4 linked regions of the Saccharomyces cerevisiae S288C genome follow. Changing the gene in region 4 together with the main gene of any one other region gives a genetic interaction. Each region holds a gene or a part of one and is shown on either strand. Other genes may lie near its edges. The genes, in order: PAU16, YER175W-A, COX5B and AIR2.

Region 1 (2,889 bases), on a different chromosome or scaffold from region 4:
TGTTGATAGAACACTAACCCTTCAGCTTTATTTCTGGTTACGGTTACACAAAAACTATCGCAACCCAGAAATTTTGATATTTTCAGTGTCAAAAAATGAGGGTCTCTAAATGAGAGTTTGATACCATGACTCCGTAACTCGCACTGCCCTGATCTGCAATCTTGTTCTTAGAAGTGACGCATATTCTATACGGCCCGACGCGACGCGCCAAAAAATGAAAAAAGAAGCAGCGACTCATTTTTATGGAAGGACAAAGTGCTGCGAAGTCATACGCTTCCAATTTCATTGTTGTTTATTGGACATACTCTGTTAGCTTTATTACCGTCCACGCTTTTTCTACAATAGTGTAAAATTTCTTTCTATGTTTATCATATTCATAAAATGCTTCACGAACACCGTCATTGATCAAATAGGTTTATAATATTAATATACATTTATATAATCTACGGTATTTATATCATCAAAAAAAAAGTAGTTTTTTTATTTTATTTTGTTCGTTAATTTTCAATGTCTATGGAAACCCGTTCGTAAAATTGGCGTTTGTCTCTAATTTGCGATAGTGTAGATACCGTCCTTGGATAGAGCACTGGAGATAGCTGGTCTCAATCTGGTAGAGTACCATGGGACACCAGTGATAACTCTGGTGACTTGTTCAGCTGGAATACCAGTCAACATGGTGGTGAAGTCACCATAGTTGAAAACAGCTTCAGCAATTTCAACTGGGTAGGTCTCACTTGGATGAGCTGCTTGAAACAAGTAGTATTGGGCCAAATGAGCTCTGATATCGGAGACGTAAACACCCAATTCGACCAAGTTAACTCTTTCGTCAGATGGAGATAGAGTGGTAGTGGCTGGGGCAGCGGCAACACCAGCAGCGATGGCGGCGACACCAGCAGCGATTGAAGTTAATTTGACCATTATATTTGTTTTGTTTCTTAGTGCTGATATAAGCTTAACAGGAAAGAAAGGAATAAAAACATATTCTCAAAGACATACAGTTGAAGCAGCTCTATTTATACCCATGCCTTCATCAGTCATCACTACTTAAACGATTCGTTAACAAGTGCTCATTTAGCACCTCACATATCCTCTATATCTCATCTTTCACACAATCTCATTATCACTATGGAGATGCTCTTGTTTCTGAACGAATCATACATCTTTCATAGACTTCGTATGTGGAGTACTGTTTTATGGCACTCATGTGTATTCGTATGCGTAGAATGTGAGAATGCCAATTATAGGGTGCCGAGGTGCCTTATAAAACCCTTTTCTGTGCCTGTGACATTTCCTTTTTCGGTCAAAAAGAATATCCGAATTTTAGATTTGGACCCTCGTACAGAAGCTTATTGTCTAAGCCCATATTCAGTCTGCTCTAAACGGCTTCCATGCAAGAAATATTTCTATCTCTTGAATTCGTACAACATTAAACGTGTGTTGGGAGTCGTATACTGTTAGCGTCTGCAAATTCGTGAATTCTCCGCGAATGCCTTGGTGCAATTACGTAATTGTAGCCGCTGAAGGCGGATGGTATTGAGAGAAGTTGATGTTCAAAGAATCGTGTATGATAAAAATAAAATTGTAACAGTTTATAAATACTAAACTTTACTTGAAAAGTCTTTTAGTCCGAAAATGAATGTGGGAATACTAATTACAAGCCTCCCATGGCACTTCTTCATTTCTTTTTGACTACGAACATGGCACTTTTTCAATTAATTATATTTAATAAATATTTCTTTTTACTTAAATTTTACAAAACCCAAGGTCATTATGGTGATTAAACCACAGTATATATATGTATATGTTGAAGAGGTTTCAATTCGGCCAAAACGACAGTACTATATCTGAGTCTGCACTAGACAATATTGAATTTACTTACCAATTAGCATTAATATACCAGAAAAATATCGAATTTCTTTTTCCGGAATAAAATACTTCTCTTTCAAAATATTCATTTGCAAATTAGAATACATAGGATATTATGATGTGCACCTAAAATATAGAGAAACATACTTAGAACTTACATATCAAACGTTATCTTAGTTATTAAAAATGAAAAATAGCTGGGCAGTGACACCTGAAATACCCCAAAAAAAAGAGCAACTATCTAGAAAAGTATGTAGAAGTCCGAAAGGAACAGAGGGTGCCACCAATAGCTTTCACAAAGAGTTCCTTTCGTGTTGGCAAAAAAAATGAGTCACTTACTACAGGTTCAATTTTTATAATTCAATTGTTGTACCTATCTGGAAAAGAAGTCCTCAAAATTACTCCACCCGGAAATAGCTGTATCAAAGAAGGCACTTGGAGAACCTAATATATCATCGATGAAATTTTCCGAGAAATCTTCTAAAGGTCCCTCTAAATCATTTAGTATAGTTGTTAAACTGTTTTCAGTTGCATCATTTTCGGTTTCAGGCCCTTCATCGATATTTTTCATTCCTTTGTTAAAAGCTCTTCTTCCTATTTTTTCCATTGATATAATAATAGAAAAGTAATAGGAGTTTTGCCAAATTTGAGTAAGAGGTTTCAACTTTTCTTGGTGAATATGATCAAATATGTTTTCCATTTCTTTAAATGCAATTTTCAGTGAAATACACTTATTGTGTGGACCCTCAAAGTCTCCAGGACATATAGAATAAGTTAGTGCGGACGAATTTCTCTGAATGAATAATTGGATATCTTTATTTTCCATATACTGTAGAAAAATGGTATAAATTTGAATTAATGCTCTGAAAGCGTTCACATAAATAAGAAACAACGCATTGTTTAAATGGGGCCATTTTTTGGAGAGGCATAATGACTTAGAAGATAATTTGCTGTTGTCTAATTCAAAATAGGTCTCAAGGACATTAAAGCACAAATGTAATGAATTTAGTGGAGCCAGGACGC
Region 2 (2,354 bases), on a different chromosome or scaffold from region 4:
TAAGAGGTGCAGTTCAAGTAGGATTTAGTTGGAAATGATAACTTGTTTGAGTAAGCTTTGGTTCCGCTTGTTATGACCTGCTTCATTCTCATATAACCTCATTTGTTAAAAATCTAAAAAAGAATCAATTTCTTCGATTATAAGTGCGTACCAAAAAAGCGGCTAATTTTGGTATTTGTGATATCAAATATACATTGCAACCCAATTTTCATCATTGCGCTTGAGTTTACTATTTCAAGTCGGTGTGGTGAAAGGTCTCTCCAATATTTGGGTACCAATTTATCGAAGCAGCTGAAATTTTACGATGTTAGATCGATTCCCGTGTCTGACAGTGTTTGGGCTGCAAATTTTTTGTGCTTCTTGAAGGCAACATGTGAGATCGGGAAGTAAAGCCCGCCAGAGTATGTTCTCAGTAAGTCATATTGACATAACACTTGGATCAATTGCGTATTTAGAAATTAATTCCTGTTTTATTTTAAGATGCTGACATTTCAATTATAGATTTTTAGCCTGTCTTATACCACCTAGAATAATTTGCTAATGTTTAGAAACTGATCTTGGTGCTCACGCTAATATTAAAAAATATACCCTGCCTCAATATCATTATGAGTATTTTATTCTCAAATATCATCCGCGAATTTTCTTGCAGAATATTTCTACAACCACGTTTGTTTTGACTAAAACAGATAAATGTTTTATGTAGTCTCATGCATTGTTAAATGACCAATAAAAAGGGTGTTCCATCAACCTATCTAATCAGAAAAATTAGGTGCAATTCTGCCGTTGTTTACTATAAATGAATCACACCTTATGTGTTGATGTTCATGACTCACAGTAATATCCTTTTTTTTTCTGGTTTTCCGAAAGTTTATCTTCCTTATTTTCATTTTTAAAGGAAAAGGAATGTAACTAATTTAGTATGTTTTCGTTGTAGCAGTCTTTATTAGTTGTTATGAGAATTATCTCCTAACAAGATAACAAAATAAGTGATAATAATGTCTACCTTTTCTGCTTCTGATTTCAACTCAGAAAGATATTCATCTTCAAGACCTTCTTATCCCTCCGATTTTTACAAGATGATTGATGAATACCACGACGGAGAAAGGAAATTACTCGTAGATGTTGGCTGTGGACCAGGTACTGCCACTTTACAAATGGCTCAGGAGTTAAAACCATTCGAACAAATTATCGGAAGCGATCTCTCCGCTACCATGATTAAGACTGCAGAAGTAATAAAGGAAGGAAGTCCTGATACATACAAAAACGTTTCATTTAAGATTTCTTCAAGTGATGATTTTAAATTCCTAGGCGCGGATTCAGTAGACAAACAGAAAATTGATATGATTACCGCAGTAGAATGTGCTCATTGGTTCGATTTCGAAAAATTTCAGCGATCTGCTTATGCCAATTTGAGAAAAGATGGTACTATCGCTATTTGGGGTTATGCGGACCCAATTTTCCCGGACTACCCTGAATTTGATGATCTGATGATTGAAGTTCCTTACGGGAAGCAAGGACTGGGACCCTATTGGGAACAACCGGGGAGATCTCGCCTTCGTAATATGCTGAAAGACTCTCACTTAGACCCAGAACTTTTCCATGATATACAAGTTTCATATTTTTGTGCAGAAGATGTGAGAGACAAAGTAAAACTCCACCAGCATACAAAGAAGCCATTGCTAATCAGAAAGCAGGTCACCCTAGTGGAGTTTGCAGATTATGTCAGAACCTGGAGCGCTTACCATCAGTGGAAGCAGGATCCAAAGAACAAAGATAAAGAAGATGTAGCAGATTGGTTTATTAAAGAGTCACTAAGGAGGAGGCCGGAACTTTCCACCAACACCAAAATTGAAGTTGTTTGGAATACTTTTTACAAACTTGGCAAAAGGGTCTGAAAATTTCAGCCAATAAGCATTATATTCGTGAAATTTTAGTAAGAGCGCGCGTTTTAATTGGTGAAGCCTCGCGACGTATTCACAGATGTCCTAGAAAAAGTTACCATATCTGAAGACTGGTTGATATTTAGCTTAAATAGCATATTAATACTGTACCAGTTGAACCATTTTTTAATCTGTTACTGCCAGGAACGTTGATTCGTTTTCCCGGTAACATTGTTGTCTTTGGGTACTGAGCATATTTCATTTTTCCACTTACATATAACTAAATTTCTGTGCTCTTCCTCCAATAAATATGACTGTGGTTGAAATAAAAAGCCAGGACCAATTTACGCAACTAACCACTACAAACGCTGCTAATAAACTCATTGTCTTATATTTTAAAGCTCAATGGGCTGATCCTTGCAAAACTATGAGCCAGGTGCTAGAAGCTGTTAGTGAAAAAGTTAGGCAAGAGGA
Region 3 (2,872 bases), on a different chromosome or scaffold from region 4:
GAGATAAAAAGGGTCGTACCGCTTTGTACTATGCCAAAAACAGCATAATGGGAATAACAAACAGTGAAGAAATTCAATTGATTGAAAATGCTATAAATAACTATTTGAAGAAGCACTCTGAAGATAATAATGATGATGATGATGATGATGATAATAATAATGAAACATATAAACATGAAAAAAAGAGAGAGAAAACGCAATCACCCATATTAGCAAGCCGAAGAAGTGCCACTCCTAGAATTGAAGACGAAGAGGACGATACGAGGATGCTCAATCTGGCAGACGATGACTTTAATAACGATCGTGATGTCAAGGAATCTACAACTTCGGATTCGCGCAAGAGATTGGATGACAATGAAAATGTTGGTACTCAATACTCATTGGACTGGAAAAAACGTAAAACAAATGCCTTGCAAGATGAAGAAAAATTAAAAAGTATCTCACCACTCTCTATGGAACCTCATTCTCCAAAGAAGGCAAAATCTGTAGAGATAAGTAAAATACATGAAGAAACGGCTGCTGAAAGAGAAGCAAGACTCAAGGAAGAGGAAGAATACAGAAAGAAAAGATTAGAAAAGAAAAGAAAAAAAGAACAGGAACTACTACAAAAGCTGGCCGAAGATGAGAAAAAAAGGATCGAAGAACAGGAGAAGCAGAAAGTCTTAGAAATGGAAAGATTGGAAAAAGCTACTTTAGAGAAAGCAAGAAAAATGGAAAGGGAAAAAGAAATGGAAGAAATCTCTTATAGAAGGGCAGTAAGGGACTTATATCCGTTAGGACTGAAGATTATTAACTTCAACGATAAACTTGATTACAAAAGATTTTTGCCGCTATATTATTTTGTAGACGAAAAAAACGATAAATTTGTGCTCGACTTGCAAGTAATGATATTGTTGAAGGATATCGACTTGCTCTCAAAGGACAACCAACCAACTTCTGAGAAGATTCCCGTCGATCCCTCGCACCTGACTCCATTGTGGAATATGTTGAAATTCATTTTCCTGTATGGAGGTAGTTATGATGATAAAAAGAACAACATGGAAAATAAAAGATATGTTGTAAACTTTGATGGGGTTGATTTGGACACAAAGATTGGGTATGAGCTTTTGGAGTACAAAAAATTTGTTAGTTTGCCCATGGCGTGGATTAAATGGGATAACGTTGTTATTGAAAACCACGCAAAAAGAAAAGAAATTGAAGGAAATATGATTCAAATATCAATAAACGAATTTGCACGATGGAGAAACGATAAGCTGAACAAAGCGCAGCAGCCGACGCGCAAACAGCGTTCTCTAAAAATACCTCGAGAGTTACCGGTTAAATTTCAACACCGTATGAGCATATCCTCCGTCCTCCAGCAGACATCCAAAGAACCATTTTGGTAAAACAATTCATCGGTCCGTTGGCATATGCTCATACATAGTTGCATTTTCGATTCATTAAATACTATTCATGTTAACATAATTCCATATAATCGTACTGTTTTGTCATTATTATATCGGCATGACACTCACCAATTTCTTTTTTTGATTTTGTATTGTTCGATAAGGCAACGAACGAGTACTCGAAAAAATGTCATGGACCCCTTAAAATTACTGAGGGGTTCAGAAAATACCGTGCAAAAGACGAAAAAAGACGAATTTCATTTGATTTATATTTTATAAATGACTGTTGCATTAAACAATAGACCAATTATTTCAATTTAATATTCTTTGCAGGAAACTTTCACAATGGAATAACGCCACATATTCATTGTAAAGAGCATGTATAACAAACACTGATTTTTGTTTTGAGTTTTAAAAGATATCCATTTACTAACATTCGAGGTGTACAAGCACAAGTTTTGCAGTGTTGCGTACTTCTCTTACTAAAGGGGCACGGCTAACTGGGACAAGATTTGTTCAAACAAAGGCCCTTTCGAAGGCAACATTGACAGATCTGCCCGAAAGATGGGAAAATATGCCAAACTTAGAACAGAAAGAGATTGCAGATAATTTGACAGAACGTCAAAAGCTTCCATGGAAAACTCTCAATAACGAGGAAATCAAAGCAGCTTGGTACATATCCTACGGCGAGTGGGGACCTAGAAGACCTGTACACGGAAAAGGCGATGTTGCATTTATAACTAAAGGAGTATTTTTAGGGTTAGGAATCTCATTTGGGCTCTTTGGTTTAGTGAGACTATTAGCCAATCCTGAAACTCCAAAGACTATGAACAGGGAATGGCAGTTGAAATCAGACGAGTATCTGAAGTCAAAAAATGCCAATCCTTGGGGAGGTTATTCTCAAGTTCAATCTAAATAAGTAGACGAGGAAAATAAAATTGTTTCGTATATTCCGTGTTTGGGGTATAAGTAGATTGTTTTCATATATACGCATTTGGTCTTAGTTCAGTAGGTTGATTACTTAGTTCCTTGTACCTTCTTCTGCAAATATCATTCATTGTTACTTCGAAGAAGAAAAAAAATAATCATGGAAAATTGGAAAAAAAAAAAGTCCAATCTAAAAAATAAAAATGTTCAAGTCATCGATTCTATGGGGAGGAAAAGGACAATCAGAACCGAAGTGTTGTGTAGCTAAAATATGTCATTTTCCTTCGGCTTTACTTCCAATGACTTTGATGATGATGAGCTTGTTGCTCAACCTGAAACATTCGTTGAAAGCAGCAAAGAAAACGAAAATACCACTGCTTACATCAATCCATTAGATTCGGATTTCTTGTCGCAAGCTGGAGTTGTGCAGCCAAATGTGGAAGACCTAGGAACAATATTGGAAAGTCTTAAGGATGTTAGATTGACATTTGAAGAGTTCCAATCTCCGATATATAGAAAACCATTGATCAAGAGGGAACTATTCGATGTCAAACATCAGC
Region 4 (3,362 bases):
TGTTTGCGCCCTTACGTTTCACTTGGTGGTAACATCAATGGCAGGAGAGATAACTGTTCTTAAAGGCGAATTTTTCAAAAACTGCAGGTTAGGAAGAATAAAACTGTGCGATTCACTAAAGCTAAATAGAAAAGATCGGTTTGTCGACAAACTTGCTCTAATCGATTATGACGGTTTAAATGCACAAAAAAGAAGGTTAGATTACGATGAAAAGGACCTTTATACATTCATTGTGAAAAAGGTAAAAAGAGACTAAATTGAGTTGCATAGATGTTAGCCATAATAGAAAATAGCGTATGAGGTAGCAGGAGTTATAAGACGTATTTACGTATATGTATGTATATGTTATTATTATTACCTGTGATTGCACGAAGGCCTTTTTTTTTCACAACAAGAAGATGTAAGAAATTTACATGCTATTTTGATTAATGGTCGAATTAGGTATTGTCTTTAATCTTTCATTAAGAAAATATAATGTAACCAAGAACAGCTTGTTAAAGGGCTTCCTATTTAAAGTTATCTTCTTTTCCCCAAGGTACCACTCCTATATGGTTGATAAGAATTGTAGTTTCTGTAATTGGAAGAGTTGGAAATGCTGTTATTATCAACATAAGTAGAAGGGTTATATCTGGAGCCATACATATTCTCCGATATCGACGAGACGTTTACTTTTGTATTTTGATACCGTGAATTTTTACTAATATTATTATTGAGTGACAGCGTCTCGCCCCTTATAGTTGGTTGAATGACATTAGACTTTTGATAAGGAGGAGGATGGAAGTTCGATGCTCTACGTTTATTTCTGCCACTATGAGAGTGATCGTTTTGGGAATGTCTTTTATGGGAAGGTCTCGGTAGTGGATCCTCATCGTATATGGACTCACTAAATTGATAGTCTTCATTTTCGTCCGAATTTCTGTTCATGTGACGGTAATATTCCTGTTTTAGCTCAACTGACAAATTAGAACCAGTGAACGCACTTCCATCCTCGTTAGGTACTCTAGATGATCGTTTTTCCTTGCAATCATCACCAAAGTGCCCCTTTCCACCGCAGTTATAACAGTATATAGTATGAAAGGGAAGGACCTTGGGCTTAGCCTTTTCATTATCATCTACTAAAATATATGCTCTCCATATACTAGGACATCTTTCTTTTGAGTGTTTCTTACTCTTACAAAGAGTGCACTGAACTTTTTTCCATTTATGTGGACATTGTGACCTGTAATGACCCACCTCATCACACTTTGAACACTGGATAGCCTTCGGACAATGTCGAGAATAATGATCATCCGTCGCCCCACAGTACGAACATATTATATGGGGACAATCCTTCTTCAAATGACCTCTTTGAGAGCAATTATTACATTTAGGTGCTGCCTCTTTAATGGCATCCTTGTCATCATCGCTTACGCCAAAATATCTACCCTGCCCTCTAAGAGCTCTTAATTCGTTGGGATTACTATTTACTTCCTCTATAGAAGGTGCTACAAGTTTATCTGGAGGAGTTGTGGGTGCCGTATCGACGACAAATGGTGCCGTATTTTTTTCCATGACTGCGAGGAAGTGATGTAAGCTGCTATCGTTGTACAGGTAAGGTTTAATTCTCTCTGATGCTGCCAATAGTCATAACTTTTTTCGAAATGTTTCTTCCCATCCCATTAGTGTTTGAAGGAAAAAAAGGCACTACCCGGATCATGAATACATTTGATGGTAATAATATATATCACATTTTTAAGCATGTATTAGCTACTGGGAAAGGGCATTTTGAAATGGTATGTTTTCTTTAAGGATGAACTATATATATTACATGAAATATATTTCAGGTTTACGTGAAGGGTGAAAAAGGAAAATCAGATACTCACCTGTAATCATTAGCGGGCTCGTTTGGATCAGTTTTAAAGATTTTGTCCGGGTTCATGATTCTCTTTGGGTCAATAGCTAGCTTAATCTTTCTCATCAAATCGACGGGTGCTTCACCTAATTCTTCGAGCAAGTACTCTCTTTTACCAATACCAACACCGTGTTCACCCGTGCAAGTGCCTTCTGCGTTCAGTGCTCTCTTGACCATTCTGTCAACAAGTTGGCTACAGGTTTCGTGTTCTTCAGGGGTTCTGTAGACGATGAATGCATGGAAGTTACCATCACCTGCATGACCAACAATGGCGTTGATCAGCTTACTAGCTTGCATGTCCTTTTTAGTTTCGTGAATAACCTTGTCGAACTGCGACACAGGAACAGCTACATCAGTTGTCCAAATTTTAGCTGATTTGTCTTTGCTCTTATCAGCGTCTAGCACAGACCATAGCGCGACCTTTCTAGCTTCCCATAATTCCAATTTTTCGTCATCATCTTTAGCAAACTGAAAACTGTTGCAGTGATTTAACTGGGCGACAGCCTTAACTTCATCCACAAGAGCATTGACAATGTTGGGAGATCTCCCACCAATCTTGAAAAACATAGTTGGTTTCTCTACCCAATCACATCTGTCCGTGGATTCAGATGCGTTGATCAACTTCATCATATTTTCATCCAGTAACTCCATGGCGTTCAAATGAATACCACTCTGAGTCAGATTAGAAGCACATGCGGCCGCATCCTTGATAGTATCAAAGGATACCACCGCAACAGTTTCAGCTTTGGGCTTGACATGACACTTGACAGTAGCTTCAGTAACAATACCTAAGGTACCTTCACTTCCCACAAATAAACCATTTAAGTTATAGCCAGCGCTCGACTTTCTGGGTCTTTTCTTCGTCTTGACAATGGTCCCGTCCGGCAACACTATAGTCATGTTTATAATATTCTCCTTCATGGTACCGTAACGGTAGGCGTTGGTTCCTGAACAAGAATTAGCAATGCAACCACCAATCTGTGCACCTGGACCAGGGTCACAGCCAAACATCAAACCGTGGTCGCTCAAATAGTCATTCAAATCCTCCCAGGGTAGACCGGCCTGCACGGTGATGTCCAGGTCCAGCTTGTCAAATTTTACGACGTTATTCATAAACTTGGACAGGTCTACGGTTATGGTATCTCCAATTCTTGTAGGCAGGAAGTGCCCCTCCAAGGACGTTCCGCCCGAGAAGGGTACAACTGGCATGTTGTTATCGTGACATATTTTCAAAATTTTGGAAACTTCTTCGGTAGTATGAGGGAATAATATAATCCTAGGTCTTTGCTCGGGAGAGGGGTGATGCGTGTTGAAGTAGGTATCTGAATGGGCGTCCAAATCGGATTTCGCATCAGAGTAGTTTTCAGGCTTGTTTCCCAGCACCTGCTTCAGGTCCTCAACAACCTTATCGATCTTAACCGGGTCGTGCAAATAGTCTGGTGAGTCCAATGAGGACAGCTTTAACGTAGAA

What was found.
Region 1: mutations in AIR2 (region 4) and PAU16 together harm fitness more than expected from each alone (negative genetic interaction), as found in Saccharomyces cerevisiae (one large-scale study listed by BioGRID).
Region 2: mutations in AIR2 (region 4) and YER175W-A together harm fitness more than expected from each alone (negative genetic interaction), as found in Saccharomyces cerevisiae (one large-scale study listed by BioGRID).
Region 3: mutations in AIR2 (region 4) and COX5B together harm fitness more than expected from each alone (negative genetic interaction), as found in Saccharomyces cerevisiae (one large-scale study listed by BioGRID).

Annotation. Positions count from the first base shown.
Region 1 is NC_001143.9:1,264-4,152, forward strand, and holds PAU16 (seripauperin PAU16), read right to left. Parts: upstream 919-2,889; coding exon 547-918; downstream 1-546. Other genes in the region: YKL222C (uncharacterized protein), read right to left, coding at 2,240-2,889.
Region 2 is NC_001137.3:539,005-541,358, reverse strand, and holds YER175W-A (uncharacterized protein), read right to left. Parts: upstream 710-2,354; coding exon 545-709; downstream 1-544. Other genes in the region: TMT1 (trans-aconitate 3-methyltransferase), read left to right, coding at 996-1,895; monothiol glutaredoxin GRX4, read left to right, coding at 2,191-2,354.
Region 3 is NC_001141.2:153,462-156,333, forward strand, and holds COX5B (cytochrome c oxidase subunit Vb), read left to right. Parts: upstream 1-1,760; coding exon 1,761-1,761; intron 1,762-1,849; coding exon 1,850-2,304; downstream 2,305-2,872. Other genes in the region: HOS4 (Hos4p), read left to right, coding at 1-1,385; HPM1 (protein-histidine N-methyltransferase), read left to right, coding at 2,584-2,872. UniProt on the Saccharomyces cerevisiae protein: Component of the cytochrome c oxidase, the last enzyme in the mitochondrial electron transport chain which drives oxidative phosphorylation.
Region 4 is NC_001136.10:143,968-147,329, forward strand, and holds AIR2 (TRAMP complex RNA-binding subunit), read right to left. Parts: upstream 1,552-3,362; coding exon 517-1,551; downstream 1-516. Other genes in the region: GID12 (Gid12p), read left to right, coding at 1-256; DLD1 (D-lactate dehydrogenase), read right to left, coding at 1,859-3,362. UniProt on the Saccharomyces cerevisiae protein: Component of the TRAMP (TRF4) complex which has a poly(A) RNA polymerase activity and is involved in a post-transcriptional quality control mechanism limiting inappropriate expression of genetic information.